Linked DNA regions of Elephas maximus indicus. The protein of the gene in region 4 purifies or fractionates together with the protein of the main gene of each other region. This does not show direct contact. Links are inferred from orthologs where the notes say so. Each region holds a gene or a part of one and is shown on either strand. Other genes may lie near its edges. The genes, in order: ACAD9, ECSIT, NDUFA13 and TIMMDC1.

The links.
Region 1: the proteins of TIMMDC1 (region 4) and ACAD9 purify together in Homo sapiens (affinity purification with mass spectrometry; 3 studies listed by BioGRID and IntAct, counting the BioPlex papers as one, with this or other methods). This does not show direct contact. The link is inferred for Elephas maximus indicus from reciprocal best matches to the Homo sapiens genes TIMMDC1 and ACAD9.
Region 2: the proteins of TIMMDC1 (region 4) and ECSIT purify together in Homo sapiens (affinity purification with mass spectrometry; 3 studies listed by BioGRID and IntAct, counting the BioPlex papers as one, with this or other methods). This does not show direct contact. The link is inferred for Elephas maximus indicus from reciprocal best matches to the Homo sapiens genes TIMMDC1 and ECSIT.
Region 3: the proteins of TIMMDC1 (region 4) and NDUFA13 purify together in Homo sapiens (co-immunoprecipitation; 3 studies listed by BioGRID and IntAct, with this or other methods). This does not show direct contact. The link is inferred for Elephas maximus indicus from reciprocal best matches to the Homo sapiens genes TIMMDC1 and NDUFA13.

Annotation. Positions count from the first base shown.
Region 1 is NC_064838.1:41,144,615-41,152,080, forward strand, and holds the start of ACAD9 (complex I assembly factor ACAD9, mitochondrial), read left to right. Parts: upstream 1-4,462; 5' UTR 4,463-4,565; coding exon 4,566-4,730; intron 4,731-7,466. UniProt on the Homo sapiens protein: As part of the MCIA complex, primarily participates in the assembly of the mitochondrial complex I and therefore plays a role in oxidative phosphorylation.
Region 2 is NC_064821.1:29,504,011-29,511,544, forward strand, and holds the start of ECSIT (evolutionarily conserved signaling intermediate in Toll pathway, mitochondrial), read right to left. Parts: upstream 3,009-7,534; 5' UTR 2,921-3,008; intron 2,727-2,920; 5' UTR 2,589-2,726; intron 1-2,588.
Region 3 is NC_064821.1:39,275,554-39,282,643, forward strand, and holds the start of NDUFA13 (NADH dehydrogenase [ubiquinone] 1 alpha subcomplex subunit 13), read left to right. Parts: upstream 1-4,083; 5' UTR 4,084-4,104; coding exon 4,105-4,198; intron 4,199-7,090. Other genes in the region: TSSK6 (testis-specific serine/threonine-protein kinase 6), read right to left, coding at 2,467-3,288. UniProt on the Homo sapiens protein: Accessory subunit of the mitochondrial membrane respiratory chain NADH dehydrogenase (Complex I), that is believed not to be involved in catalysis. Complex I functions in the transfer of electrons from NADH to the respiratory chain.
Region 4 is NC_064819.1:9,882,343-9,890,040, forward strand, and holds the start of TIMMDC1 (complex I assembly factor TIMMDC1, mitochondrial), read left to right. Parts: upstream 1-4,679; 5' UTR 4,680-4,835; coding exon 4,836-5,026; intron 5,027-7,400; coding exon 7,401-7,563; intron 7,564-7,698.

The DNA.
Region 1 (7,466 bases), on a different chromosome or scaffold from region 4:
GTCTTCCTCTTTTCTGCTGACCCTGTACTCTGCCAAGCATGATATCTTCTCCAGGGACTGATCTCTCCTGACAACATGTTCCAAGTATGTAAAATGCAGTCTCACCATCCTTGCTTCTAAGGAGCATTCTGGTTGTACTTCTAAGACAGATTTGTTCATTCTTTCGGCAGTCCACAGTATATTCAATATTCTTCGCCAGCACCACAATTCAAAGGTGTCAGTTGTGGATTGAATTGTGTCCCTCAAAAGTATGTGTTGCAAATCGTAGCCTTATGCCTGTAGTTATAATCTCATTTGAGAATGGGTTGTCTTTGTTATGCTAATGAGATAGGATTAGTATAGGGTGTATCTTGAGTCAATCTCTTTTTAGATATAAAAAAGATTAAACAAGCAAGTGAAAGAAGTAGAGATGAGGAAGACTGATGCCAAGCCACATGGAGATCTCCAAGGAACCAGGAAACAGAGCTGAAGAGACAAGAACTTTCCTCCAGCGCTAACAGAGAGAGAAAACCTTCCCCTAGAGCCAGCACCCTGAATTTGGACTTCTAGCCTCCTTAACTGTGAGAAAATAAATTTCCTTTTGTTAAAGCCACCCACTTGTGGTATTTCTATTATAGCAGCATGAGATAACAAAGACAGAATTTGGTACCAAAAGAGTGGGGTGCTGCTCTAACAGATACCTAAAATGTGGAAGTGGTTTTGGAATTGGGTAATGGGTAGATGTTGGAAGCATTTTAAGGTGACTAACGGTAAAAGTGGAAACCCTGGTGGCGTAGTGGTTAAGTGCTACAGCTGCTAACCAAGAGGTCGGCAGTTCAAATCTGCCAGGCACTCCTCGAAAACTCTATGGGGCAGTTCTACTCTGTCCTATAGGGCTGCTATGAGTCGGAATCAACTCGACGGCAGTGGGTTTGGTTTTTTGGTAACAGTAAAAGTGGAGCCCTGGTGGTGCAATGGTTAAGAGCTCAGCTGCTAACCCAAATGTTGGCAGTTCAAATCTACCAGCTGCTCCTTGGAAACCCTACGGGGCATTCTACTCTGTCCTATATGGTCACTATGAGTCAGAATTGACGTGACGGCCACAGGTTTTTTTTTTTTAGTAGTAAAAGCCTAGGTTGCCTTGAAGAGCATGTTGGTAGAATTATGCATGTCAAAGGCAACTCTGGAGATGGCTCAGAAGGAGGTGAGGAGAGCCATAGAGAAAGTCTCTATGGTCTTAGAGAATACATATGGCGCCAGCAACAGAATGTTGCTATAAATGTGGACATTAAATGTGCTTCTGATGAGGCTTTAAAAGGAAATTACGGACATGTGATCGGACAATGGAGGAAGGGTGATGCTTTTTATAAAGTGGAAAAGAACTTGTCTGAATTATGTTCAAATGTTTAGTGGAAGGTAGAACTTGATGAACTTGGATATCTGGCTGAGGAGATTTCTAAGCAAGATCTTAAAGGGGCTGTGTGGTTTCTCCTTGCTGCTTATAGTAAAGTGAGATAGGAAAGACATAGACTTAAAAATGAACTGTACAAAATGAAAACAAAACTTAAAGATTTGGAAAATTCTGTTGTACAAATTAAGGGCACATGTCCTAGAATGTTCACCAAGGACGTGGCTACACATCTTTTGTTAAAGAGATTAAGGCCTGTGACTGATGGATCTAACCAACTACCACAGCAGGAAACTCATCAGCTTAGACTGAGGGGTACAGAGAAAGAATGAAAGGAAAGAAGGCTGTCTACCTCTTAGAATTCTACAGGCAGGAAATAGGCCAAAGGAGCTACATCTGTTGTCCTCCAAGAAAAGAAAAGGACCATGCCTGGAGCAGCTTGGAGATCACCAGAACTGTTAAAAGGAGTATGGGAAGCAGGTCCTTCTCAGTTTCATAGGGTGGGGCCACAGCCTCCTAGGTTTCAGAGTTGGATCTTTGCCAGCTGGGTTCTGGAGTGTGGGGCTGACAGTAAGGTGTGCCAGAGGAATGGGGCCACAACCCAAAGCTGAGGAGGCAGGTCTGCCATGCCGAGGGGACAGAAGAATGGGGCCTGCTGGAGCCGAGGGAGTGGGGTTGCCACGCAGACTAGGACTAGGGGAATAAGACTACCCAAATGCGAGTGAGTAGAGTTGCCGTTTCAGTGGGCCTGGAAGGTGGAGTCAAAGCCCAGGGTGAAAGGCCACCACCCAGAATCCAGAGGGCATGGCCAACACCCAGAGTCTGGAGGGCGGGACCATTGCCTCATGGTCTCAAAGAATAGATGGTTATTTTCAAGCCTTGAGGGCTAATGTAAATTTTTTCTAGGTTTGGGATTTGCTTGGTGCCTATTATCCCTTCTTTCCCTCCAATTTCTCCCATTTGTAATGGAAATGTCTATCTGGTGTCTGTCCCACCGTTGTACTTTAGAAATACGTAACTTCTGGTTTAGATTTCACAGGATCACAGATGAAGAAGACTTCTGCCCCAGGATAGAATATGCCTAAAGTCTCACCCATGTTTGATTTATATGATTCTGAAAATTAGATCTTGGACTTGGAGTAGGCAAGCATGCAATTATAAAGTGTGCTAGCAAACCTTTAAAGCTGAAGCACCTGGCATAATAGAATGACTGACATGAAGTCTGAATTAAAACTCCATTTTGTTACAAGCATCTGCTTCTGCATTCCTGAGAATGTAAGCTTGGTGTCTTCCCATTCGTATGCAAATAATCTTGGGCTTCTGGCTGGGTGGAACCAGTAGACCCTGGCCTATCAATCCTCTTGTTTTCGCAGTTATGTGAGTATACCCAATCCCCTTAACTCACATAAACTCTGTTAACCAATCCCAACCAAAGCCCTACCCCCTCCTGCTTGGTGGTTTCCTGCCTCCTACTTAAGAGTCAGAATCACTGGACAGCGAGATGTTCGTTGTTGTTTTCTTTAAACTTCACTAATTGCATGCCTCATAATTAGAATATTATAAACTAAGTTCCTGATTCAACCCTATAACTATGCCCATGTGACTGCAGCTTTTTGGAGAGCTGGTTTTTACTTTGTGAGATCAAATGTGTCCCCAGCTCCTTTGCTATCAATAAATCTTTTTTTCTTAAATATATTTTTAATTTTTTTTTATTGTGCTTAGTGGGTTGGTGATTTTAAGGTGAAAGTTTACAGAGCAAATTAGTTTCTTGTTGAACAATTAATACACATATTGTTTTGTTGTGACATTGGTTGCTAACCCTGCAACACGTCAACACTCTTCCCTTCTGGACTGCCATGCTTTTCAGCTATACGCATCCCCTCCTAATGGAGTCTCTTTTGCTCTTCCCCAAAGCATGCTGGGGATGAATTCGGGATGGACTCAGGCTACCGTACAAGGCTGGGGATGGTGTGACTGGGCCAGTGGCCAAGGCCAAAGAACGCCTTAGCAACAAGAAGGAGAACAGCTGGGCCTGGAAGTGAAGTTCCTGGGAACAGTAATGCCCAAGAACGTGGGAGAAAACAACGAGCCTTTGTCCCAGCTGGAACGGTACGTAAGCTTGTGCCTCCTGCTAGGTGGTTGCAAAGCGCTGAACTGGTCCAGGCACCGCCCTGGGCCACGGTCTGTAAGTAACCTTCGGGAATAAACAGTATGTCATGATCGCTGGTTCCAGAGTTTTTATCTGGTCTCTTGGAGATGCCGCCCACCTTGGGTTCGGGTGCCGCTGTGTTTTTACACAACGTGGACCTTAGGTTTCCCATTTTCATTTGCCCAGCTTCCCTGTCCCCTCGTGCCTTCTCATCCTTGCCCCTGGGCTGGTGTGCCCACTTAGTCTCCTATACAGGTTCAGCTACGGGTGTGTTACTGTTTTATAGGCTTGTCTAATCTTTGGCTGAAGAGTGAACCTCAGGAGTTACTTTGGTACTAAGTTAAAGGAGTGTCCGGGGGTCCATACTCTCGGGGTTTCTCCAGGCTGTCAGACCAGTAAGTCTGGTCTTTTTCAATAAATCTCTTTACTTCCGTTTTAAGCAGAGTAGTCATTGTCACGCGAGGAGAGAAGCAAAACAAAATGAACCCCCATGTATCTATCACCTACTTAAAAAATGCAATATTATCTGCACTGTGAGCGCCCCTCCGGTGATAACCAATTTCGTGTCTTTTTTCCCCCACTCCTTTGCTTTTTTTTTTTTTTTTTTTGCTTTAGGGTCGCTAGGAGTTGGAATTGACTCCACGGCAACGGATTTTTTTTTTTTTTTTTGCTTTAGTTTTACCTTGTACTGCTTGCCCCTGCCTCAGGAAGAGAGGCAAGTGGAGGCAGTTGGGCCGCTTCTTAAGCACCTGGAAGACTCTCAGGGCTGAGGGTTACGCAAACAACCGCTCGCGTTTGAAAACAAAACCTTCCCGGGGGCCCCCAGCAACTAACGTGAGAAGCCGCCCATTGAGGTGATCCCCAGCCCACTCGCCCTGCCCTCCCCTGCGGCCCAACGCGGCGCATGCGCACTGGCGACCGGCGGCGCCTAGCAGGCCAGTGGCGTCATCAGGCGGCGCGATCCCGCGCACTTCAGCCTGAAGCACTGAGGAAGAGGTGACACTGGTAGTCTGAGCGACTTCAGGCAGCATGAGCGGCGGCGGACTCTTCCTGCGCGCGGCGGCGACGACGGCGACGGCGACGGCGCGTGCCTGCCGGGCTCTGGCGGCCTTCACGGCGAGCCGACGCTCGCTGCGCACCAGCCCACCGAGCCGAGGTTTCGCCAAGGAGCTCTTCCTAGGCACAATCGAGAAGGTAACGCCCACCCTTGCTCTCGGGCCCCCGCTTTTCGCCCTTAGCAGGAAGACTGGGGTCGACGTGTCAGAGCCCCCAAACCTGCCTGACAAGAATCACCTCGGTGTGGGGTGTTTTAAAACTCCGGATTCCCGAGTTCCACTAGCAGTCCAGCGCTTTAACCACAGCGCCACCAGGGCTTGTAACTCTCCTTTTATAGTTGGAAGACTTGGATTTGGCCTTGACTGTTTTTTGTAACTTTAGCCTTCGTTCTTTCAACCTTGAAATGGAACTAGTGTTGTCTCTACGTCACAGATGTGCTGTAACGCCCCAATGAAATATATGGTGCATGAAAGTGATTTTTAAACTGTAAGATACTCTGTTTATTTTTTTTAATGTTTTTAAGATACGCTGCAGATACAAGAGGCAGCAGAGTAAGTAACGCTGGCTTCAGTACTTACTAGTTTTGTCACTTAACGCCGCTGTGCCTCAGTGTGCTTATCTACGAAATGGAGTAAAAACAGTACTCATCTCCTACTAAAGGTGCCTTGCAAACCAAAAAAAAAAAAAAATTTGTATGAAGTGCTTTGAGCAAGACTTGGTCCAAATGTTGGCTGGTACTGTATCACTTAGTTCCTGGTTTGTCATTAGAACAGTCCTCTAAGTTTGTCAGACCTTTATACAGACATTGCAGTTGCAGGAGCTGAGACTCAGACTGAGAGTGGTTTGCCCCTCTAGGAAATGCAAAGCTAGGTCTTTAAAATTTGGAAAACCATTTTCCCCAAAACTTGGGAGTATGTGGTGCTCTGTCCTGGGACCTCATGCCTCCCAGAAGCATGGTGAGGAGAGAACACACATCTGTCATGTTTCTTTCTTCAAACCTCTGCCACCACCTCCCGCATCCTCACTCTCAGCTTTGCTGCCCGTCTCACTGAGAAAATACATGTAGTCAGATGAGAACTTCCATCACCACATTTGCCCTCTCCTCCCATCATGTGTGTCCACATCTTCTACATTCTATCACTTTGGATGGCTACTAGCAAAGGCCAACTCATCTCTAGATGCTATGCCTTCTCACCTACTCAAGGACATTGATCCAGAAATTCTCTCCTTTCTCATCTGCATTGTTGTGGATTGAATTTTGTCCTTGCCAAAATATGTGTTGAAATCCTAACCGCTATACCTATGGATGTAATCCTGTTTGGCAATAGGACTTTCTTTGTTGTGTTAATGAGGCCATACCACTGTAGGCTGTGTCCTAAACCTAATCACTTCTGAGTTATAAAAAAAGCAGATGAGACACACATGCACACACGGGGGGGGGGGGGACAGCATGGGACAGATGCCATGGGGGGGATCATCAGAGAACACCTAGGGGTACTGACAGGGAAGGAATTGACATGGCTGAGATCCTGATTTGGACTTTAACCTCCAGAACTGTGAGAAAATAGATTTCTGTTTTTTAAAGCTGCTCTGGAGCCCTAGTGGTGCAGTAGTTCAGAGCTTGGCTGCTAAACAAAAGGCGAGCAGTTTCAATCCACCAGACGCTCCTTGGAAAATGCTACAGGGCAGTTCTGCTCTGTCCTGTAAGGTCGCTATGAGTCGGAATTGACTTGATGTCAATGGATTTTTTTGGTTGTTAAAGCTGCCCACTTGTGGTATTTCTGCCACAGCAGTACTGGGAAGCTAAGACATGCATCATCAGTTTTTCCCTCTCCACCGGATCTTGAGCCCATGCCGTTCGGGCATTTGTCCTGAACTATCTATGGTATACTAAAGCTGCTCTCGGGAAGAACAGCAGTGACCTCCACATTGCCAGATCTTGTGGTCTGTTCCTGGTTTTCATCTGACTTGACCCATCAGTGGCATCTGACACATTTCATCACTCCCCCCTCTTTGATAGACCTTTTCCACCCGTTTTGTTGTTAGTTGCCATCGAGTTGATTCCACCTCCAACAATGGAACAAAATGCTGCCTGGTCCTGCACCATCCTCACAACCACTCTTGTGCTTACGCCCATTATTGCAGCCACTGTGTCAGTCCGTCTCATTGAAAGTCTTCCTCTTTTTCACTGTCCCTCTGCTTTATCAAACATGATGTCATTCTCCAGGGACTTGTCTCTCCTGGTAACATGTCTAAAGGATGTGAGATGAACTCCTACCATCCTTGCTTTTGAGGAGCATTCTGGCTGTACTTCTTCCAAAACAGATTTGTTCATTCTTTTGGCAGTTCGTGGCATATTCAGTTTTCTTCGCTGACACCGTAATTCAAAAACATCAATTCTTTTATAGTCTTCCTTATTCATTGTCCAGCTTTCACATGCATATGAGGCGACTGAAAACATCATGGCTTGAGTCAGGCACACCTCAGTCCTTAAACTGACATCTTTGCTTTTTAACACTTTAAAGAGATCTTTTGCAGCAGATTTTCTCAGTGCGATGCGTTGTTTGATTTCTTGACTGCTGCTTCTGTGGGTGTTGATTGTGGATCCAAGTAAAATGAAATTCTTTACAACTTCAATATTTTCTCCTTTTATCATGATATTGCTTATTGGTCCAGGTTGTGAGGAGTTTTGTTTTCTTTATGTTGAGATGTAATCCGTACTGAAGGCTGTGGTCTTTGATCTTCATCAGTAAGTGCTTCAAATCCTCTTCATCTTCAGCAAGCAGGGATGTGTTGTGTGCATATTGCAGGTTGTTAGTGAGTCTTCCTCCAATCCTGATACCACATTCTTCTTCATACAGTCCAGCTTCTCAG
Region 2 (7,534 bases), on a different chromosome or scaffold from region 4:
GCTGGCCTCATATAATGAGTTGGGAAGTGTTTGAATCATTCTTATCACCATTTAAACCTGTTCTAGCATCTCCCATCTTGACCCCAGGTCTCCCTCCAACCTCTGTCCCACATATCTGCTCCCTTTATAGCAAAATTTCTCCCCAGAGGTGTCTACACACTACAACTCCATCCTCACTCTCTCTAACCTGGCTGCTCCTCCAACCATTCCAATGAAATCTCTCTTGTAAAGGCCTCTGTGTTTTATATCTTATAAAGGCTACGGTTACTTCTCAGGACTCCGTCTTGCTCAATTTCTCAGAAGCACCTGGTACAAGTGACCTACCCTCCCGCCTTTTTCTCAACACTCAGATATTTTCTTGGTTTACTTTCTCTGTTTATCAATCAGCAGGATACATTTCCTTCTCTAAATTTTGCAATGTTCACAAGTGCTTGAATATGCAGATGACTCATCTGGGATCTCATTAAAGTGCCAATTCTGATTCAGCACATCTGGGCTGGGGCCAGAGACTCTGCACATCCAAAACGCTCCTGGATGAGGCTGATGTGCTGATCTGGGGACTACACTTTGTGTAATGAGACTGCAAAGAATTTCACATTGTGGATTTGTCTGCTTGCTTCCCTGCAGTGTCATTTCACTTGTTCCTCTCATCTTTGTATTTCCTATATACAGCCCTGGTGGTTCTCAAACTTTGTTCATATTGGAATCTTTTAGGGAGCTTTAAAAAACTCCTGTGCCCAGGAAAATGCAGAACAGTTTCAAATTCTCATGGACTCCAGACTTTCTGGAGCCCTGGAGGCTAGATGAACCCCTGAAACTAGTGCCCTGAGATAATCTTTGAACCTTAAACCAAAAATATACCCTGAAGTCTTCTTAAAACCAAACAGTAGTTTAGCTTAACTAGTAAACAATGTCTGCCTTGAGCATTGTGCTCTTTTAAGATCTATCTATATGGGGTCAAATTGACAACAGCAACTCAAAAGATTAGATAGGAGCCTTTGGGGGGGGGCAGTGAGTTGATGTTAATGCAGGAGGAACAACTCAGAAAGGAGGGTGAGAATGGTTATACAGTTTGAAGAATGTAATCAACGTCACTGAATGCAATCAACGTTATTGAATTGTACATGTAAAAACTGCAGAACTGGTGTTATGTTTTGCTATGTGTATTCTCAACAACAAAATAAATAAAATTAAAAAAACAAATTCTCATGCCCAGGCCACACCCCAAATAAACAAAATCAGAATATTTGGGTGTGGGGCCCAGGCACCAAATTTTTAAAGCATACCAATGACTCTAATATGCAGTTAGGATTAAGAACCGCTGCTCTAAATCCTTGCTATTCAAAGTGTGTTCCAGGGATTAGTAGCTTCAGCATAACCTGGGAGCTTATTAGAAATGCAAAATCTTGGCCCTAATCCACACCACCTGCTGAATCAGAATGTGTGTTTTAACAAGAGCTCCAGGCGTCTCCTGTGTGTATTAAAGTCTAATAAGTGTTGACCTATGCGCTAACAGCTCTGAAATGTTTATCTCCAACACCAGCCCAGAGCACCAGCCTCGATACCTAACTGCCGCTTTGATGTACACCCAGCCATCTCAAACTTAACTTGCTCCAAACTGGTATCGCTGCTTAAGCTTGTTCCTCCCCATCACAGGCAATGGCACCACCATTCCTAGTTACTCAGGCCACAAACCTAGGAGTCAGCTCTGAGCCCACCAAGTTCCTCACTCCCCCATTCAATCCATCAATTTGACTATTCCCAAATTGATTCCATATGCATGCATTTCTCTTCATTCACAGGCCATGACCCCAATCCATTGCCTCTCCCTAGGCACCTACTCAGCCTCTCCCACCTCTACCTTTACCTGCCTCCAGTCAGTTCTCGTCACTGTGGTCAGAGGAATTTTTTTTAAATGTAAGTTATTTTTAGTGCACTCTGCCTAAAATCAGGAATGGTCTAAAACCCAAAACGCTTTGCTGTGGAGTCGATTCCAAATCATAGCGCTCCTATAGGACAGAGCTTCCAAGGAGCAACCGGTGAATTTGAACTGCTGGCCTTTTGGTTAGCAGCCATAGCTCTTAACCACTAAGCCACCAGGGCTCCAATGTATATCACACGCTTAAAATAAAATCCCACAGGGTCTACTCTTCCAGCTACACTGTTTCTTAAACAAGCCAAGTTTTATTCGTCTCAGGATCTTTGCACTTGCTTTTCCCTCTGTTTGGAACGAACTTTCCCCAGACCTCCCCAGGGCTGTCTCTGGTCATTCAGATTTCCATTCAAATGAGACGCCTCCCTTGACCGCCCTGCCCACCATCTAAAAAGCCTCCATTACCAAGATTAATGCATTTTCAGCAATGATCAGTAGCTGAAATCATCTGTTTCATTTATTTCTGACTTGTTCAATGTCCCGTTCACCCAGAAAAGACGGGATTTTTGTCTGTCTTGTTCACTGCTGTGTACCCAGCACCTGGGGCAGTGTCTGGTAATGGCAGTTGCCCAACAACTATCAAATTGAAAGGAAATAAGATCTAAATTTCTACAAAACCTCTATAAACCTGAACCCCTTGAATGGGTGTACGTACAGCAGCGCTGCGGCTGGCTGCCAAGATTCTGCGTCTCAAGAACAACTGGCAGACACGGGTTCGAATTCTCGCCTGCTACGGACTTGCAGCGTGATCTCGAGCGAGGGCCTTAACCTCTTTGAGTCTCAGTTGTCTTATCTACAAAATGGGAAATAAAGTATGTGAGGCTGCGGGAGCGATTTCCTCTACGTCCCCGCCCCGCACTTCAAAAGGTCATGGCGCTGTAGGCCTGCAGATGGGTCCCTGTGGGGCCGCCCTTCCGCGTTCCCGGACCCGGAACGAGCCACCCCGGGGCCTAGGAGCTCTCCCTCCCCCTCCAACGCGTGACCTACCTCCTCATGAGGCCGGCCGCGGCCACCGGACCGGTTCTATCTTCCAGCTGGGCGCCGCCATATTGACCCGAAGAGCTTCCGGGTTACCGTCTCCTCTCCCCGAAAAAAAAAAAAAAAAAGCAGCAAATCGTGAAGACCAGTTTAGAGATGTTCCGCCTACCTTGGGAGGCCCACCAATAACGAGCCAGGCCCCGCCCTTAACAAGGCAAGCCGCACCCTCCACCTGGGAACCGTGAACTATGGCTGGGGAAGGAGTGATTGAGCCGGTCCCAGACTGGGAAGCTGGACTTCGGGGGACTGTGATCCCAGCCTAAGCCTCCGGTATTCCCTCCTGAGACGCAGAGTTGAATTATCAACTTATCAAAGTTGGAAGGGATGTGAATTCCTTCTTTCCCTCAACAAACATCCATTGAGAACTCACTGTGTGCCAGCCACAGTTCTAGGCCCTGAGCATACAGCAGCGAACAAAACTAGAGTGTCACAGCGCTGACACTAGTGGAAGAGACAGGCTCTGCTAATCTAGGTCCATGATTCTGGGCAAGTGCTTAACCCATATGTCCCTCCATTGTCTCACCTGTGAAATGGGGCAATTATAATAATCTGATAGGGTTGTTTGAGGTTTAATTGAATTAATCCCTGGAGAACAGCCATATAAATTGTTTTGTTATCATGGAGTCCGGTGGCAGTGTTAAGAGCTCAGGCTGCTAGCCAAAAGGTCAGCAGTTCAAATCCACCAGCCACTCCTTGGAAACCCTATGGGGCAGTTCTACTCTGTCATATAGGGTGGCTATGAGTAGGAATCGACTTGATGGCATACAACAACACCACTGTTATCATGCGGGATTCACCCTCAGCCTTCCTCTCCCACCCCACCCCCCCAACCCCCTCTTCACCCCACTGGGACGAAGGAGTCTGGTTTGACCCTTGGGCCACCCTCATTGAGGGCTGAGGGTCGTGTGGGGCTGTGTGTGTGTTCATGAATGTGTCCTGGAACTGTGGGAGGAGGAATGTCACTGCAATGTTGGAGTGGTAGTGTGTGTGTGTGTGGTGGGAGGGGGTTGTGCATTTTGTTGTATCTCCAAACTCAAGCAAAGGCGTGTAGGTGTATGTGCGGCTGTGTGAGTGTGGGTCAGGGGTGGTGCCCAGGCCAGTCTGGGCATTGGTGTGTGTGACAGCATGTCATAGTGAGTGTCTCATGGGTTCTTGTGTGTTTGTCAGTAGCTGCATGTGTGACTCTTAGTGTACTAGCTTCTGGGTGTCTGTGACTCTGTGCGTGTGGGAAGGGGGATTTGCCCCACAAGTCAAGGGGCTGGCAGTATGTGTGTCAATGTTTCTGTGATTGTTCCTGTGCCTTAATGTGTGTATGACTGCATGTCTGAACACCAGTGGATAAATGACTGTATTTGTCACACTGTATGTCTATGACTTATGCATACATGATTGTGTCCCATCATCGGAGTGCATGTGACTGTGTGTGATACCCCAGATCGGTCACTCTGGGTGTGATTGTATGTCTAATTACAAGTGAGTGAGTCTGTGATTCTGTGAGTGTGTGGCACACCATGTGTGTGATTTTGATTGTGTTTCAGCAATGGTGTAACAGGTCTGACCATGCCAAAGTCTCTGATGTTGTGGGACTCCATGTGTGGTTGTGTTCCAACCAGTGTGTGTTTGTTACTGTGTTTGTGACACTCTGTGTGTCCTTGACTTGTATGTGTGTGATTGTTCCTGGCCATTGACTTCTACGGCACTGTGTATGTCTGTGATGATCCTGGTTATAAGTGTGTCTCAGTGATTCTGTGACTGTGTCTAGCTATCTGCGTGTGGGCTGGTCTATGTTTGTGACAATAGTGTGTCTCTAGACTCCTTCTGTGTATGAGTGTATATCTGACCACAGTGTGGGGTTGTGACTGTGTTTGTAGCACTCCGTGTGTATCTCTCTGCCTGTGGTTATGTGTCTGATCCCCAGTACCTACCCAGGGCTGGCTGTATCCTGAATGTGTGACCCTGTGTGTGTGAGATTGTAAATATGGTGTGGGGACGGCACCTGATCTCTAGTTTCACAGGGGGAGAGGAGAATCAAGATCAACAGCCCAAGGCTGATTCCTGCGAGGCAGAGGTCAGACATGCCTCCTCTCTCTGGCATCTTTACCAATTCTGACACAACAGTCTCTCCCATAGCACTCTCTACTTCTCTGCTGCGTTCGATAATTCATTGCAATGGCCAGACAGAACTCACAGATAATAATCATGATTATGGGGTTTATTAGGGAAGTAACAGGCTCAGGAACACATAGGATACAGTTCTTCCATCAAGACAGTCTGTTCCCAGTCATGCCACTGCTTTTCTCTGCCTCTTCCCTGCTCAGGCAAGTGTCACAAAGCTCTTTTAGCTCTGCCCGAAGCGTCCCCAGGCACCCCACTCCACCAGTAAGCCTCAGCCAGAATACACTCAGCGCTAGCTCCATGGGTCGGCAAACATAACTCCACCAAGTGCTTGGAGGCATCCTATTCTGCCACCAAGCTTCCTGCCCAAAAGCACTCAGCTTTTTTGCTCCGTGTGCCGGGAAGCCCACTGTGCTGTCCCTGCCAGTCTCTCCTCTGCTCTTTCTCTGCTACCACTTCTCACCATCTTCAGTATTACAACTCTGACTGTCTCCTGGTTCCAGAAGTTTCTCAGTGCTGTAGGGATCCCTGGTCCAAAGGACACACTCTGCTCCTGGCTATTCTTCCTTGATGGTTGTGAATGAGATCCTGCCTTTGCCTGGAACTGGCTCTCTTTTAAGCCTAGTGGGATGGCAAAACTGACCACAATTACCTTATCTGTACAGTTCCAACCAAGTATTGGGTGGGAGTTACAAGACCATGGTGAGAAAGGCCACACAAAAGTGATCCCTCGCACCACAGAGACACAGTGCCTGGGTCCCTGGATGTGTGCCTCTGCTCCCCCGTGTGCACCAGGCAGATCCCCAGATTGTTGCCTTACCTTGGAGCATGGCGACATTGGAGGTGGTGCAGCTGGCATCTGCCTCTCTGGCTGTAGGAGCTGGGCAATCAGGAAGAGGAGGTGACTGGGGTGTGTACGTGGCCACATCCCTGCCCGTACCTGTGGCCCCCATGGTTCTGATTCCTGACTTCATTTTGATCAAATGAGCTCCAGGGCGCTCAGCCCACACCTGTTCCTCTTGCCCACAGAGCCTTGGACCCACACAGACACCTGAGTGGGAGTCCAGGTAGCTGGGTGGGGGGGGCTGGGGGGGCATGAATTAAGTAGAGGTGTGGCCAAACTTGCCCCTGACCATTAGCGCTCTGGCCTGTACAACTTGTTCTCTGTACAGGCCATCTGTATCAATCCCTGCTCTGTAAGAGTCAGCTGGGCCCCCATGGATAGACCCCTCTTCACCCCATTCCTACTCCCTGCTTCTGGGCAGGTGGAGAGCCGGCAGCACTGCTGGAGGGTGTCCAGGTGAGAAAGGGACCCCTCCAGGAAGTTTCCCAGAGTAAGGCTGGTCCCACTAAGGAGCCTCATGTGCCAACACACAGTTTCTCTCTACCCCAGCCAAGTGCAGAGCTGAGGGCCTTGACTCCTCCATGCCAGGCCACCAGCTGCACTGGCCAGATCAATCCAGGGTGAGGGTCAGTGGGTCCCTCGTTCCCCTCACCTATAGACTGTGGCTGATGTTTCTGGTTATCTGCTGTATGGTAGGCAGGTAAAATTTGGCTGGGTGGGACTGGGGGTCACACCCCATCCCCTTCCCACCTCTGACCACTGCCTCACCCTAGACCTGGTGCTGATTCTCTGCAACAGGGAGATCAGATGTTCCTGTGTTACTGTGCACCTTCTCTGGCTTCTACTGCTTCCTATAAAGACCCCTGAGACACCACAAGCTATCTCCCCACCACCCCGCCCATGTGTACTGTGTGCTAGGTTATGGAGTGCCAGTTTGAGAGTCTAGCAGATCTTGGCTGAGTCCCAGCCTTGCCCCTCATAATTGGTGTGTCCTTGGGGATGTGACTTTCTCTCACTGAGCCTCAGTCTTTGCCTCTGTAAAATGGGGATAATGAAAGCATCTCATAAGGCTGTTGTGAGGAGGAAATGAAACAATGCAAATAGGTTAGCACAGTGCCTGCTTATAGTAAGCACTTGTCATGGATTGAATTGTACCCCCCCAAAAAATATGTGTCAACTTGGCTAGGTCATGATTCCCAGTATTGTGTGATTGTCCACCATTTTGTCATCTGATGTGATTTTCCTATGTGTTGTAAATCCTACCTCTATGATGTTAATGAGATTAGAGGCAGTTATGTTAATGAGGCAGGACTCAATCTACAAGATTAGGTTGTGTTTTAACCCAATCTCTTTTGAGATATAAAAGACAGAAGGAGCAGAGAGACGGGTGGACCTCATACCACCAAGAAACTGGAGCCAGAAGCACAGCGTGGCCTTTAGACTCAGGGTTCCTGTGCTGAGAAGTTCCTAGTCCAGGGGAAAACTAATAACAAAGACTTTCCTCCATGTTGACAGAGAGAGAAAGCCTTCCCCTGGAGCTGGCACCCTGAATTCGGACTTCTACCCTCCTAAACTGTGAGAGAATTTCTTTTTGTTAAAGCCAT
Region 3 (7,090 bases), on a different chromosome or scaffold from region 4:
GCTGGTTGCAGACAGCAGAAACCACACCCAAGCCTGTCCACCTCCGTTTATGGGACGTTTTCTAGGGGCCCAGCCCCATGACCTCACTCTTCCTAAGGATGGATTTGAGTCCTGGCCTTCCCTGGTCAGGCACCAAACTCCTCAAAGACCAGGGCAGATCCCTGGGTGAGTCTGGGCCACGGTCTCCAGTAGGCTGAACACTCTGGGCCACACTGTCTCCACCTACAAAATGGGGCACCAGCCCTAGTCCTTGCAACCCTGCCCCCTCTAACATCCTGGCCCTTCTGCTCACGAGCGCTGTGGAGGTACGGACAGTGAAGGGCCTGGGTGCTAGGGGCAGGGCAGTGACAACAGATGGAAGCATCATCACACCTTTAGATGGGGACAAGGAGGGAGAGCAGAGTGTCAGGCTGGAGATGACTTTGAGGCCAAGTCTTGAATGAAGATGGGGAGGTATTAAAGGGAGTGAGGACAGCCATGTTCAGGTGAGAACACATGTGGCGGGTGGAGAAATAGCGAGGAGGGCAGTGTGGCTGGACCAGGAGAGACAGTGAGTTTTATTCTGAGTGTGTGGGGGCCTGGGAGGGGTCTGGCTCTTGCCGAATCTCTGGTGAGACAGGCCCCCTCCCAACAACCCTGTGGTCCGGTTCCTGCACTTGTTTCCAGGTGAGGAGCCAGAGACATGGCCCAGGTCCCTGAGGAAAACCAAAACCAAACCAATTGCCATCAAGTCAATTCCAACTCACAGTGACCCCATGTGTACAGAGTAGGACTGCTCCATAGGGTTTTCAAGGCTGTGACCTTTTGGAGGATTAATCAGGCCTTTCTTCCAAGTCACATGAGTGGGTTCGAACCACCAACCTTTCAGTCAGTAGTTTAGTGCTTAACTGTTTGTGCCACCCAGGGACTCAGATCTGGATGAGGGGCCCTTCAAATTTAACTAGAGGGGCCCGGTCTTTTCTCTCAGCTCTGATGAGATTCAGCCAGGATCCCCCCTCTGATGGCAAGGCCTATCCCCACTGGGCAGCAGTTATCTGCAAAATGGGGTGAAAAGGACCACAACCTAAAAATTTAAGGGGGGAGGGGCCTAGTACTCCATCTCCAGGGCTCCAGGGAGCCGTGGAAGGTGAGTGAGCAGGAGTGGGACATAGACCCACAAGTCCAGCAGCTCCCTTAGGGGCTGTGTGGGTTTCAGATGGAAGAGATAGGAGGGATCAGGGTTAGGGAGACGCTTGCCACACACCCCAGACAGCCACTGTGACCAAACCCAGTAACCTCATCGTAGGCAAAATAAAACCCAAACTTCCCCAGGCCCTGTAGAGTCCCTCGCCGCAGATGCAACCCTCTTCACCTTCTCTCCCAACTTTCCCAGGTTGGTTCCTTCTGGCTCAGCTCAAATGTCATCACCCTGGTCCCTCCCGGACTGCCCTGCCCGATTTAGCACAATTTAAGATCATCTTATTCCAGGCCTTTCCTTTTGTTTTTACTTTCCACCTGCCTCCTTCAGATGGGTCCAAGCATCTCTGCTGAGTCCCAACCTCAATAAATGCACGAATACGCGAGTGAACCAAGTCTGAATGAACCAGTGGACCCATGCCCAGTCCCTAGCCCTGACTCTCCTCCCCCTGGCCTGGAGAGGGCGGTTCTCACCAAGCAGGGCTGCTCCGCTTCAGACTGATGGGGTTCGAATCCCAGCTGTGTTCTCGGGCAAGTGACAGCTGTGTCGGCCTGCTTCCTCATCCGTAAAGGCTCGGTCCGCGTATCAACAGGAGCTCCTCCCTCCCCTTCCGTCCAGTGAGCCCCCCAGCATCCCCATTCCCAGGACCATCACTACCGCTAGCACGATCTCACACCCCCCTCGATCCTGCCCAGGCTGGAGAGCCCGAAGAGCTGGCTTTGAATCTGCCCAACTCCCCACTGAGGCCTGCAGCAAAAGCCTCGACTTGCCTATCTCGAAAATGGATCTCCCATGCCTGCCCTTCCCCCCAGGGGAGCGACACACCCTGCCCCGAAAATGGGCCACGGCTAGAGCCAGATGCGAGGACGAGCGAGTTTATTACAGATTCCGGGGGGGGCCGGGCCCAGGGCGCCCTGCGCCCCCCTGGCGCCCGCGGTGGGCTGGGGACGGGCGCCGCGCACTCGTGTCTGCTTGCCGCAGGTCCTCGGGCGCGCGCCGTCCTCAGCTTAGCCGTCGCTCGTTCCGCGCAGGCGTACTGCCTTCGGCTCCTTGCACCCCGCCCCCTCCAGGAGCCTTCGTGCCGGGAGCCGGGGCCGCGCATTTGCCCTCCCGCTCTCTAGGTTGTGACTGAGCAGGAGGAGCTCGCTTAGTAGCCGTAGGGGAGAGGAGAGGGGAGGGCGCGTGCGCAGTGGCGGGCGGCGGCTTTGCGGGGTTCCGAAGCGCGTCCCTCGCGCGTGCGCCGCGCGTACGAAGTGCCGGGGCGGCACGAAGGGCGGGAGCACCGGCGGTTAGCCGGAGTCCCCCGCCCGCAGCCAACTGTTGCGCGCTACCTGGCCGGCCGAGGGTCGGGCCGACGGGCTGAACTGCAACAGCTCGGCGATCAGGGCCTTGCAGCGCTCAGGCAGCTCGAGCCCGTCGGGGTAAAGCACGCCGCGCTTCTGGCGCCGGGGCAGTCCGGCTATGTCCGAGTCGTCGAAGGGCATGCACCCGGTGACCATGACGTAGAGCACGACACCCAGGCTCCACACGTCGTATTTCTTGGGGTCATAGGGGATGCCCAGCAGCACCTCGGGAGACGCATAGGCCGCCGAGCCGCAGTAGGTGGTGCTTAGATCGGGGTAGCCGTGTGCCTGGCGGCCGAAGCCAAAGTCCGTGAGCTTGACGCGGCGCTCGTCGGGGCTGAGCAGCACGTTCTCACACTTGAGGTCGCGGTGCACCAGGTGGTGGTCGTGCAGGTAGCGCACGGCGCCGGCGATCTGCGCGAAGAGGTCGCGCGCCTGCGCGCCAGGGATGCGCCCGCTGCGCTGCACCGCCTGCAGCAGGTCGGTGGCGGCCGCCTCCATCACGATGTACAGCTTCCCGTTGCATACCTCGATGAACTCGAAGACGTGCACAATATGCGGGTGCCGCACGCCCCGCAGGATGGACAGCTCGCGCGGCAGGAACTTGTTGACGAAGTCGGGCGGCGCGCGCCGCCGGTCCACCACCTTGATGGCCACTGTGCCCTTGTACTTTTTGGACGTGGCCACCTTCACCTTGGAGTAGCTGCCTTCTCCGATAGTGCGGCCCAGCTTATAGCCGAGTTCGCTCAGGAGTTTGTCGCCCGACATGGTGGCGCCCGGGGCGCGTGGGGAGCAGGAGGCGGCTGCTGTCGGAGGGCGGCCGGACTCCGATTTCGGGCCTAACCCATGGCGCTTGGCACCTGCACCCCCGTACCCCCATGTGCCCACTCCCAGACCCCTGCCGCCGCGGCGCCTTTTATTGCCGCGGTAACAATTTCTGCCTTGTGAAGTGACCGCAGGCGTCACCCTGCCGCGGGGTGGGGGGGTACCCCTGAGCCGTGCCCCGCAGGCGCCCAAGCCCCTCATACTATGTGACTCACAATCGCCCGGAACGGCTCAGTTCCGGAGAAGCGGCCCCTAGCCGGGTGTCTCGACCACACTGGGGAGCAAAATCCGCGCCTGGGATCTGGGCGCCTCCTCGTGAGTCCGACCTCGGCTAACAGCGGACCCTTCCCCTCCCACTCCGTGTACCCCCCGCCCCATGGCCATGGGGAGTCCTGGGCTGCCCGCAGATTCCCCTGACGTGGAGAAAACGGGGAAGGGGCTTGACTCTGGGACCTGCTTCCTTGGGGAGCAAGAGGCTGGGGGTTCCTGACAGTCCGCGCTGCAGCCCTGAGGGAAGGTGAACCCGAGATCCTTTAGTACAGTGATGAGGGCGCCCCAACGCCCAGTCTGGTAAATAAGGACTCAGACGCGCTGCTGGAGCCAGGCTCCGCCGCCCCGACGCTCCGCGCCATCCAGGGGCTAAACCAGCGCCCCAGTCCTGTCAGAAACCTCTCGAACTTCCGCCACACTCATCATGACGGCGACAACCGCCTGGTACGTAACTTCCGCCCACGGCCGGAAGTGTAGGACTCTGGTAGAATGGCGACGGCGAAGGTGAAGCAGGACATGCCCCCGCTGGGGGGCTACGGCCCCATCGACTACAAGCGGAACCTGCCCCGTCGGGGTCTGTCGGGTCAGTGTCGCCGTGCGCCGGGGTGTCAAGGTCTGGGGCCCTCGGGCCCCCGCGGCGGGGACGGGACGGCGAGCGGGCCTCAGTTTCCCGGCTGTGCTGCGGGGAGATGGAGTCCCAGGATCCCCCATAGTTTCAGTAATAACGATCATATGTGCTGCAATTTGTGTCTTTTTAACAATCCAAGAGGTCAGTCCGTTAATTACTCCCATTTTACAGACGGTAAACTGAGGGTGGCTTACCCGTGACCCTGGCCCCTTGGCTTTGCTCCGGCTTCCAAGGAGGAGAAACTTGCCTGAGAAAGGCTGCGACTCCCCCAGGGTCAGTCGGGGCCGAAACCCAGGGAATGTCCTATAGGGTGGCCCAGGAATCTGTGTTCTTGAATTTTCAAATGTTGTAAGTAATATTTTACATTGGGTTCAACACAGAAAAAGTAAAAGGTGCCACACTCAGCACCCAGTGTTAACAGAAATAAAATTTAAAACATAATTTAAGGGTGAATACAATTGCCGAAATTCATCAAAATTTACATTTAAAACCTGTGCATGTAGTTGTATGCAAATTATGTTTCTGTTTAAACAAAGGGAAAGGAATTAGCAGGCGTGGTAAAAAAATGTTAATTCAGACTGTGGAAGAGTGAGTCTTTCCCTTGACCCATTCCTTCTTGGTTTTTGTATCCTAGAACAGGGGTGGGCAAACTTTCTCTGGAAAGGGCCAGATGGTAAATATCTTAGGCTTTGCTGACCACGGAGTCCCTGTCCCTGCTACCTTTTCACAACGGTTTACAAATGTAGGAACGTTCTTAGCCCAAGGGCCGTACAAGACCAGGCTATAGGCTTTATTTGACCCAGGGGCACTTGTATGCCTAAGATTCTAGTTCTAGAACAGGTTGACAGACTATGACATGATGTCGGGTGCCATCCAGTTGATTTCGCCTCATAGCGACCCCATGTGACAGAGTAGAACTACCCCATCGGGCTTCCTAGGCTGTAATCTTTACCGGGGCAAATCACCAGGTCTTTATTCTTCGGAGCCTCTGAGTAGATTCAGACAGCCAACCTTCCTGTTTGCAGCTGAGTGCTTAACCATTGTGCCACCAGTGCTCCTTATGATGTGATGAGAGCCTCCATATTTCTTTTATTGAGGGGTAACTGAGCACCCAGCCTGTTAGACCCCCTCAGGTGTGTATTGGGATAATGTGCACCTGTGTGACTTGGACCAGACCCATGGGCCTCCTGTTCCCCCTAGTCCACATCTCCCATTTTTAAGTCCCAAATGTGCCTTTCACCATGGACCTCTTCGGGTTCATGATATCGCAGTACACCAGTGTTTCCTGTAGAACATGCAGGCTCACCTGGGTCTTTCCACACCGTGAGAGGTGAGGAAGATACCTCTTCCGGTGGTGTGGTCTTCTTTATGAGGCAGCAGCTTCCCTGGGGCCCTCTCACCCATCTGTCCTTGCTTCATGGCCCTGTTCAGACCTCAGCCCTGTCTCCAAGGGCTCACAGCCTAGCTGAGGAGACAGATACCATTGCACAAGAATTTCCAGTTTTGAGGATAAGAGGCCTGTGTCAGCCAGGGTGGCAGGGAGCGCCACTTTGAGGAGGAGCCCCCAGGAGGGAGGCACAGCAAGTATAAAGGTCTGTTCTCCATCCCCACAGCCCACATTCCCATCAGCCCACCCTCCCTGCTCCTGTCTTAACCCTGTGGCCCTGAGCCTGACACCCACTGCCCAACAGTGGCTAGAACGTGCCAGGCTGCCCAGGCACCTCCCCTTTGCTCCCCAGTGCTCTAAAGTGACTTCCACCCCCTTTTCCACTCCTCGTCTCTTTTACCCCAACGTTCTACTCCTTCCTCAGTCTAGGTTGGAGCCTTTTCTTATTTTTGTGTCTTTAATATCTTTATTGAGATACATATAATTTACATGCCATAGAATTCACCCATTTAAAGTGTACAATTCAGTGGTTTTTAGTACCTTCACAGATACATGCAACCATCTCCACAGTCAATTTTAGAAGATTTTCATCCTCTCAGGAAGAATACTTGTGCTTATTAGCAGTCATGCCTATTCCCCACCCTCACCCCCAGCCTGTGGTGACTACTAACCTACTTTCTGTCTCTGTGGATTTGCCTGTTCTGTGGTTAAGAGCTCGGCTGCTAACTAAAAGGTTGGCAGTTTGAATCCACCAGCCGCTCCTTGGAAACCCTATGGGGGCATTTCTACTCTGTTCTGTAGGGTGGCTATGAGTCGGAATCAAGTCGAGAGCAACAGGTTTGGGTTTGTTTTTTTTTTTTTTTTTGGACATTTCACGTTAGTGGATAATACAGTATGTGGCTCCATTATATGGATACATTTTGTTTATCCATCAGGAATGGACGTTATGAACAGTGCTGCTATGAACATTTGTGGATACATTTTTCTGTGGACCTACATTTTCATTCTCATGGGAATATACCTAGGAGTGGGGCTGCTGGATCCTATGGTAACTCCACGTTGAGCATCGTGAGGATCCACCAGGTTATTTCCAGAGGGGCTGCGCCCTTTTACATCCCTACCAGCAATGCACAAGAGCTCTAACTTCACCTCCTCAACAACACTCCTTATTATCTGACGTTTTGATTGTCATCATCCTGGTGGGTGTGAGGTGAAATTTCATTGTGTTTCTGATTTGCATTTCTCTGATGACTAATGACATAGAGCATTTTTTCTTGTTTGTATTGGCCACTCGAGTATCTTTCTTCCCTTATTAGGTATATGATTTTCAAATATTTTCTCTATCTCTGGGGGTTCTTTTTACTTCTTTGATGGTATCATTTGCAACACAAAGGTTTTAATTTGATGAGGTCCAGTGCATCTATTTTTGCTTTTATCACGGGTGCTTTTAGTGGCATAGT
Region 4 (7,698 bases):
CAGGGATTGTGTCCTTAGGTGCTATAAGTCTGTGGATAGGCACTGTGTATTTCTGAGCTGTACTGTACTGTGGTTTTGCCTTGTCGCTATGAGGCCCTAGTAGGTGTTCTCATTGTCTCTGTATTTTCAGTTTCCTCTCGCTAAAATAGTAGCAAAGTTTGCCGTTCTTTGGATTAGGAGTGAAACAGCATTGCTCTGGAGGTATTTCCCATTTTGCTTCAAGTTCCAGCCCAAACAACACTTCCTCTCTAAAGCCCTTCTTTTACTCCTCTAGGCAGTTAGGGATTACCAGAATATTTAGCTCATGCCTATATAATATGATATCACATTGTGCTATAGTTACTTGACTTCTTGATGCATAGGAATCATGTTGTAGTTATCTTGATGTCTCCATTGTCCAGCACAATGCCTCACACAGTAGATACTAAAGAACCTTTGGATGGGTAGAGGGATGGATGGATGCATGGAGATGGCTGGCTTAACTAGATCCCTGTTTACTAATTGCCCGGCCATTGGCTCTAGGGGGGGTTGGACAACACTGTAAGAATTGGATCAATGCAAATCCTGACCTTCCCTATGACGAGTCAGTAAGGGTGTCTTTGTATTTAAATGCAGAAAATATTATTCATATTTTTTACTTGTTTATCTGTTTACCTCAGTGTAGATGGTATAAGGATGGTGTGTAAAATACGTAAAATACATGTTTTTGGAAATAATTTGTATCCCCATAACTCTTGAGAGCTTTTTTGTTGTTGTCGTTAATACTAGCTGTGTCCCAGACATACCCTTTCTTCCCCAAAGAGCTGAAGGCCACATTTTTCTTTGAAGAAAGAATAATTTGGTGTATTTGAATGAAGTGGGATGCTTGGGTAACACAGTTAATGCTTTTCCTTTATTTTGGGGGCATCGTTTCTGTGATGTTGTCTACTGTGTTAGGTCAGGTCCTCCTAGTTGCCAAGAACAGAAGCTGCCTCCAGCTAGTTTAAGCAAAGAACTTACTAGAAGGATATGAAGGCATCTTGGAGACTCTAAATACATTTCATGCCATCGAAAGGGTAGATGAGGGCAATCCAGGAATCGCAACAAGAGTCTTGGACAGTCTCTCGAGGGCTGTTCTACTGAAGTTTCATAGAGCGCCGGGCTCTGTCACTCAGCCCAAAATTCCCAAGACAAAAAAAAGCTAACAGACTAACTTACTCTGCCCCAGGCTGATTATAAACAAGAGCACACACAAATACATAAAATCTATCTTCCTATGCATCTGAAGATGCCTTCACCTAAAATAATCCTACTACATTGAGAGGTAAGGTGATCGGGGTGGGGCAGAGGGGTACAATTACAAATCACTCATTCAATAGTTGTCAGAGAATTCATGAACTTCTACTGTGCACCAACAGTGGGATATAAGAAGTTTATAACAAGCTCTCTAACCTCAAGGGACTCTGTAGTTGAGGTAGAGTAAATAACAATGTGAGAGTATCATAAGCTGAATGTGATTAAGGGGACATGAGGACCAATGATTTATAAATACAATACGGATTTGAAGTTTAGAGGAAATTTCCAACTGGGGCAGATGGGAAACTTCATGGAGGTAAAAATTGAGTTACACTTTGAAGGATGGGTAAATGAAGTGTCCGTGGAACCCTCAAAGTTCATTCTCTCTACCTGTGGATATAATTTATATCACATACAATACAAGAAAATATGTACAGCAAGGCCTGTACCTGGAGAACCTGGCAGAGAAAGGGGAAATGCTAGCCCCTGGGAGAAAATTTACTATGGAGAAGCCGTTGACAGTTCTCTGAGTAGGACTGAGCAACAGGTGCTGAGGATAAAAAAAACAGCAGTGGTTCCAGGTACAGTGTGGTGTATTAAAAACAAAAAGTTTCTGTAAAATAAGAGTTACTCAGACTCAAAGATTTGCAAATAGAGAAGGGCCAAAATGAAATTTCAAAACGGCGTTTCCGAAAAGTGAGCACAAGTACAGGTTCTTCATACTCAATTTTGCAGAACTCTGTACAGAGTTGGGAAAGGGTACGGTGTACATTAGACTGGTTGACATTAAACATACTCCATGAGACTAATTTACCAAGAGTTCCTATTGGCTGGGGTACTCAGCCTCTGTTTCCTGCACTCCAGAGCTGGTTCCTGCAACAATCTGGGGGGGTGGGGGGAGGGACCTCAGAACGTTGCAGAGCAAATTATCTTGGTCAAGAGTGTGGTCATGCGTCAGGGCACTCTAAAAAGCAGATGCACGGGCTAGGGCAAAATGGAGTCTGATTCAGACCTGTGTCAGCCATTTTAGTGACGTCAAGTGCCTCCGTTTTAGAGTCCTCTTTCACGGGTGACTGTACTGAAATTCTTCCCTGTCGCAGTTTCTCTGCTGGTAAATGCACACCCTGCGAAAGAGAGAGCTGTATGTGAAACACAGAATGGCCCGGCTAAACCCCATAGTACCTTTTGGCTTAAATAGTTTTGCCGTGATACCCTTCAAAGGAGTCCTGGTAGTGCAGTGGTTCAGAACTGGGCTGCAAACCAAATGTTGGCAGTTCAAATCCACCAGTCGCTCCTTGGAAACTCTACGGGGCAGTTGTACTCTGGCCTATTGAGTCACTATGAGTTGCAATTGGCTTAACAGCAATGGGTACCCTTCAGAAAGAGCAGACCACGGAGGAAAGGTAGTATTTCCCTAGTGGTAGAAGCCGCTTCCCTAGAGGCTTAGAGAAGCTGGAGAGTTGGAAAGTGATAAAGTGATAAGCCTTTGCATGGCCACCCGGCAGAGCTAAGCTGCCATTTCCCCGTCCATCAGGGCCCCAGGGCAGCGTCTCCGACTTGATGACTAGGCATCATTACAGGAGCTGTCCACCAATCTTGATGGACCACGCCCCTGAACACACCCTGAAGAAAAGCCTACCCCTGATGTGTTTCCTCCCCATATATACAACCCCCCCCCCCTCCCCGTGCATGCTCATCAGGGAGTCATCTTGGCAACACAGGTCCTGGTGAGCTCCTTTGCTTGGCCAACCAAATGAGGTTCTTTTTCCTTCGCTATTGTCTTACTCATGCCTCAGTGTTGTGACGAGGAGACCTGGAGGTCCTGTAACGGTGACGAGGAAGTGACAGTCAAAGTGCTGAGGTGGAACAGCAACAGTGTGAGCAGTAGCCAAGAGCCCGGGGACTTTCTTGAGGTACAAAATGGCAAAGAGAACCTTTGAAGTAAGTCTCCAGTCACTAACTCCAGAAGGCAGCGATGGCGTTAGTGAAATTTGCCTGTTACCACGGCCTCACCTACAGGCTAGTGAATACCGGGGAATTTTATAACTTATTTCATTAGTGTCTGCTCTGCTCTTCCCCCTTCCCCAATTCAGGTCCTCCCTCACCCCCGAGTGATTCTGAGGTCATCTTAAGCATACGTTTTTCTGCATGTAGGCTAGAAAGATTGCACAGCCATTTTGGGGGGCTTTCAGGCCTTGGGATTTATCCTTGTGCCTACCCCTGCAGCATCCTGGAGCCAGGGCCACGAGTAGGGGATCTGAATTCTTCACTGAACCTCCACGTGCCAGACACCGTGCTAGGTAGGTCCTGGAGAGACCGAGATGAATAAACGTGTCTCTGACCTAAAAATAAGTCTACTAAGATCAGGAAATAAACGTGATGCAGTGTAGTAAGCGCTATGATGGGTACTGAGTCTAATCCTGTCTCCCTGACACCAGAGAAATCTTGGTGGCTCTGGCACTCATTTAGCCCCATAATCCTGAATCATCACGTCTCTGGGCCTCATCTATAGAATTTCCGGTTATCAAGTTCCAGAATTTGATTTACTGCAGTTCTACTCTGTCCTATACGGTCGCTATGAGTCGGAATCGACTCGACGGCAGTGGGTTTGGTTTTTTTTTTGTTTGTTTTACTAAGGAACGGGGCAATTTATCCACTCTGGTGGCACGTGTTTGCATCCTATCTAAAAAAGAGTATGTTTGATGCCAAGCAAGGATTCAATGAAATTACACAAACCAGTTTGAGATTATTTTAAATGCATGCATATGGATAAAAACGATACTTTGAAACCTAAGTTAGCAGAGACTGTAGTGACAGGCAGTTACTGCTGGGCTATGAAACGCCTGATAGGAACTCCAGAGAACATGCTGCCTTTGGAAAAGCGGCAAGCAGATAAACTAAGGGAAGTGAAATCCACCCTGTGAAGAATTGCCAAAAACTGATTCTTCAAAAGAAAAACGTGTTTTGGAAATGCCGGTGTAACGGCCACCGTGAGCCGCCTTCGATGCCGCCCCCGTTTCCGGAAACCGGAACTGACAGAACACAGACGGACGGGCCCGCCTCCCGGAAGGATTCCCGCGTTGTACCAGCGTCCTTCTCTCCCCGTACTGCACTTGCATTGCCTATTGCACTTCTTAACCTTCCTGAGATTTCTGGCGTTTTAAGTACGCTGAACTACTTCAGCCTATGGTCACGCCTCGCCGACTAGAACCCGCCCTAGACCCGGTTTCCGCAGGCCCAGGCGGGGCCTGACGGCGTGGGCGCTCCAGCTGGCACCGCCCATTCACTTCCGGGGGAGAGCCTGGGAAGGCTACGAGCCCCGCCCGCCTCCACCAGGAGGTGCTTTCAATTCGGGCTCCGCCTTTGCCCCGCCCCTTGACCTTTGCCATGGTGGGGGCAGGACTTCCTGTCTCGTGTTCCAAGGACTTCCGAAGTCAGGTCGGGCTTTTGAGCACCGAGCCGTGGAGCTCTGTGGCGGTTCGCCCTCCTCCCGAGGCGCCTGCGGGCGACCTTGGGGTCCTGAAACCCCGGTGTGTCTGTCCGCCGGTCCGGAGAGGGCTATGGAGGAGCCTCCGATGGCGCCACAGAGCTGTCTCTGCAGGGCGTTCGGTCTTTTCCCCCGGGTCTTTGCTGCCGGAGCTGGGGTCCCCGACTCCGAGGCTCCCGCAGAGGGACAGCTGTCTCCTTACTTCCCAGAACCCCATGGCCCGGAATCTGGATGGGACCGCCTCCGGAAGCTGTTTGTTAAAGAGTAAAAGTGCCTAGGGTCTGTGGGGAGGGGACGCGAAGGAGGCGTGTTTTAGCCTGGGTAACCCCGGGACAGGGACCCCCGGGTAACCCTGGGACAGGGACCCCCGGGTGGTGTGGTTTGTATTATTGAATGGGTTTGAGGTTCTGATATTTGAACCCTGAGCGTGTGTTCTGACATTGCCATTCGGAGGTGGACAAACAGACCGATTTTCAAATAGTAAGGGTCAGACGCGTTAAAAGTAAGACCTTTTGGTGTAGTCTCCTCCTTTTACAGACTGGAAAAGTTGTGCCAAGCTAGTTAGTGGCAGAGTTGACCCTGGAACCCGCCCCTTCCAGTATTATTTCTTGCATTTCAGTTGATCGCAAACTGAGGTTATTTATTGACCTGTAACCGCTCCCCCCCCCCAAAATGAATGTTGGGAAGGGAACAGAGAGGGTGTCAAATTTTTATTTTGCAAATAAGGAATAAAAAATAGTGGCAACTATTCTCGTCATTTTATTAAAAAAAAATTAACTGAATTAAAAAATAAGGATATGATTTAAAAATAAAAGATAACCCAATAAATTGAATTAATTCATTTTATCTAATAAAAAACTCAGAATAGTTCATTCATTCATTCATTCATGTATTCATTCATTACTTACTGGTGAGAACTGTGCTCTGGACCAGCGTTCATAAAGTACTTTACCGTACTACTCAGTTTTCTCAATTGACTAGATTAAAACTGAAGCTTTATTAACGTTGCTGAGATAGTTGAGGACAGGGAAGCTGGTGGTGTTTCGTTCAATTACTTTAGGTATTTAAGTTTCATCTTTATTTTAAACATAACGAGGCAGCATTTCTCTGGTCTTTCCAATATCTGCGATGCTTGCGAAAGACCTTGTGTAGTATGTAACCAATGACAGTTATTTTGATCATATGTATAAACCACGGAAGTTGGAGCTTAAAGAAACAAAAGATAATCTAGTGTACCTTCATGCTTTCCTCTATATCGTAGATTAGGAAACCAGGGTCCAGAGAGATTCTGATCCTGGCTGCATGTCACTTAGCAGTGGAGTGACAGAACCAGGGCTACCACCTTATTTTATAGTCTAGATTGTAGCCTAGACTCCATTGCTATGCTGCCTTTTTTTTTCTCCACCATTCACTAGTTGTTTGGACCAACCATGTAACTTCTTAAAGCCTCTTTCTTCATCTGTAAAGTGGAGGTAAATAATTGTTCAGAGGGTGAAAAAGAGGCAAAGTACATACATCTTCTGGTCTATTAAATCTTAAACTTTACATTTGTGAGCCCTACCATCGGTAACAGTTTTAATGTAAATATACTGTCTTATTCATTATATAAAATAGTTCAAATTATAGCTGTTTTTCCTATTGATGTAACTATAAAAATTAGTTTTCTAAGAGATTTTATTTAAATTTCTCTTGTTGCAGAAACTGTACAGACTGATTCTTGTTTCAGAGGTTTTGTGGTTATTGACAATGAGACATAAATAAGCACTTGTACAGTTCTCTGAAGAAAGCAAATTAGTAATTACAAGTAACATTTAGTACTTTACTTACCTAGGAAAGCCATGATTTATAGTAACTTAACACTTAAAATGTAGTGATTTTTTTTTTTTAGAGCAATTCTAAGGATATCTTCGGTTCTATTTTCTTATGCTTTTGGGAGCAATAAATTGAATTCAGATTTTTAAACAGCAGCGTTTCCTTGTTTTAAATTGCTCTGTGTTGCCCACTGCGTAGTGAGATTTCTTAATGCTTTTTTACTGCAAACGCTTTTTTTTAAATACCAGGTTTTTATTCTTGCAGACATTGTCCTAAAATCCCATGAATCTGTGGAATTTCTAAAAGTTAGTTTGACATTCAAGAAGGAAAATATTGGTCTCTACATCCAACTCACAAATTCTTCCTGTTTCTAGGGGTGTGGTCTAGGGGTAATAGTCAACAAAGAAGAGCAACTTTTCAAAAATGTTTTTGTTGGAATGTAGTATGCATTTAGAAAAATGTACATACCAGTACTAATCAATGAATTTTCACAGACTGAAAATCGTGTATAGCCAATACCCAGAAACAAATAAGACTATTACTGGCCTACCAGAAGCTCCCCTTTTCACCCTCCCAGTCACTACCTACCCAAGACTAACCACTCTCCTAGTTTCTAACAGCATAGACTAGTTTTGCCTTAAATTTGAGCTACCTTTAATATAACTGCACTATTGAATTCATCAGAGGGTTTAATAAATTCAACCCGTGATAAAAAAGATATTTATGTGGTGGTGTTAGCATTCGGGATAACAACTGATCATTGTGTGTTTTGGAGAGGAATATCCATAAACTAACCCCAAACAACATTGTCTTTTTGGTGTTTTAGTGAATGGCGGAGAGCTGAAGAACTTCAGAGTATTTATAGGGCAGCGATTTCAGCAGGCATCATTGGCTTTGCATATGGGGGAATTCCAGGTTTTATTCATGCTAGACGACGCTACGTTGAGCAGAGCCAAGCAGAAATTTATCATAACCAGCTTGATGCTGTGGTATGTACTGGTAGTTTAATAGTATTTTGGGAACACGGTAATTTAGTTAGCACTTAGCATTTAGTTAGGTCATGGGGTTGAGAGGGCTTGTGTCAGAGTAATAACAATGCAAGTACTAATGCTAAAATGTGTACC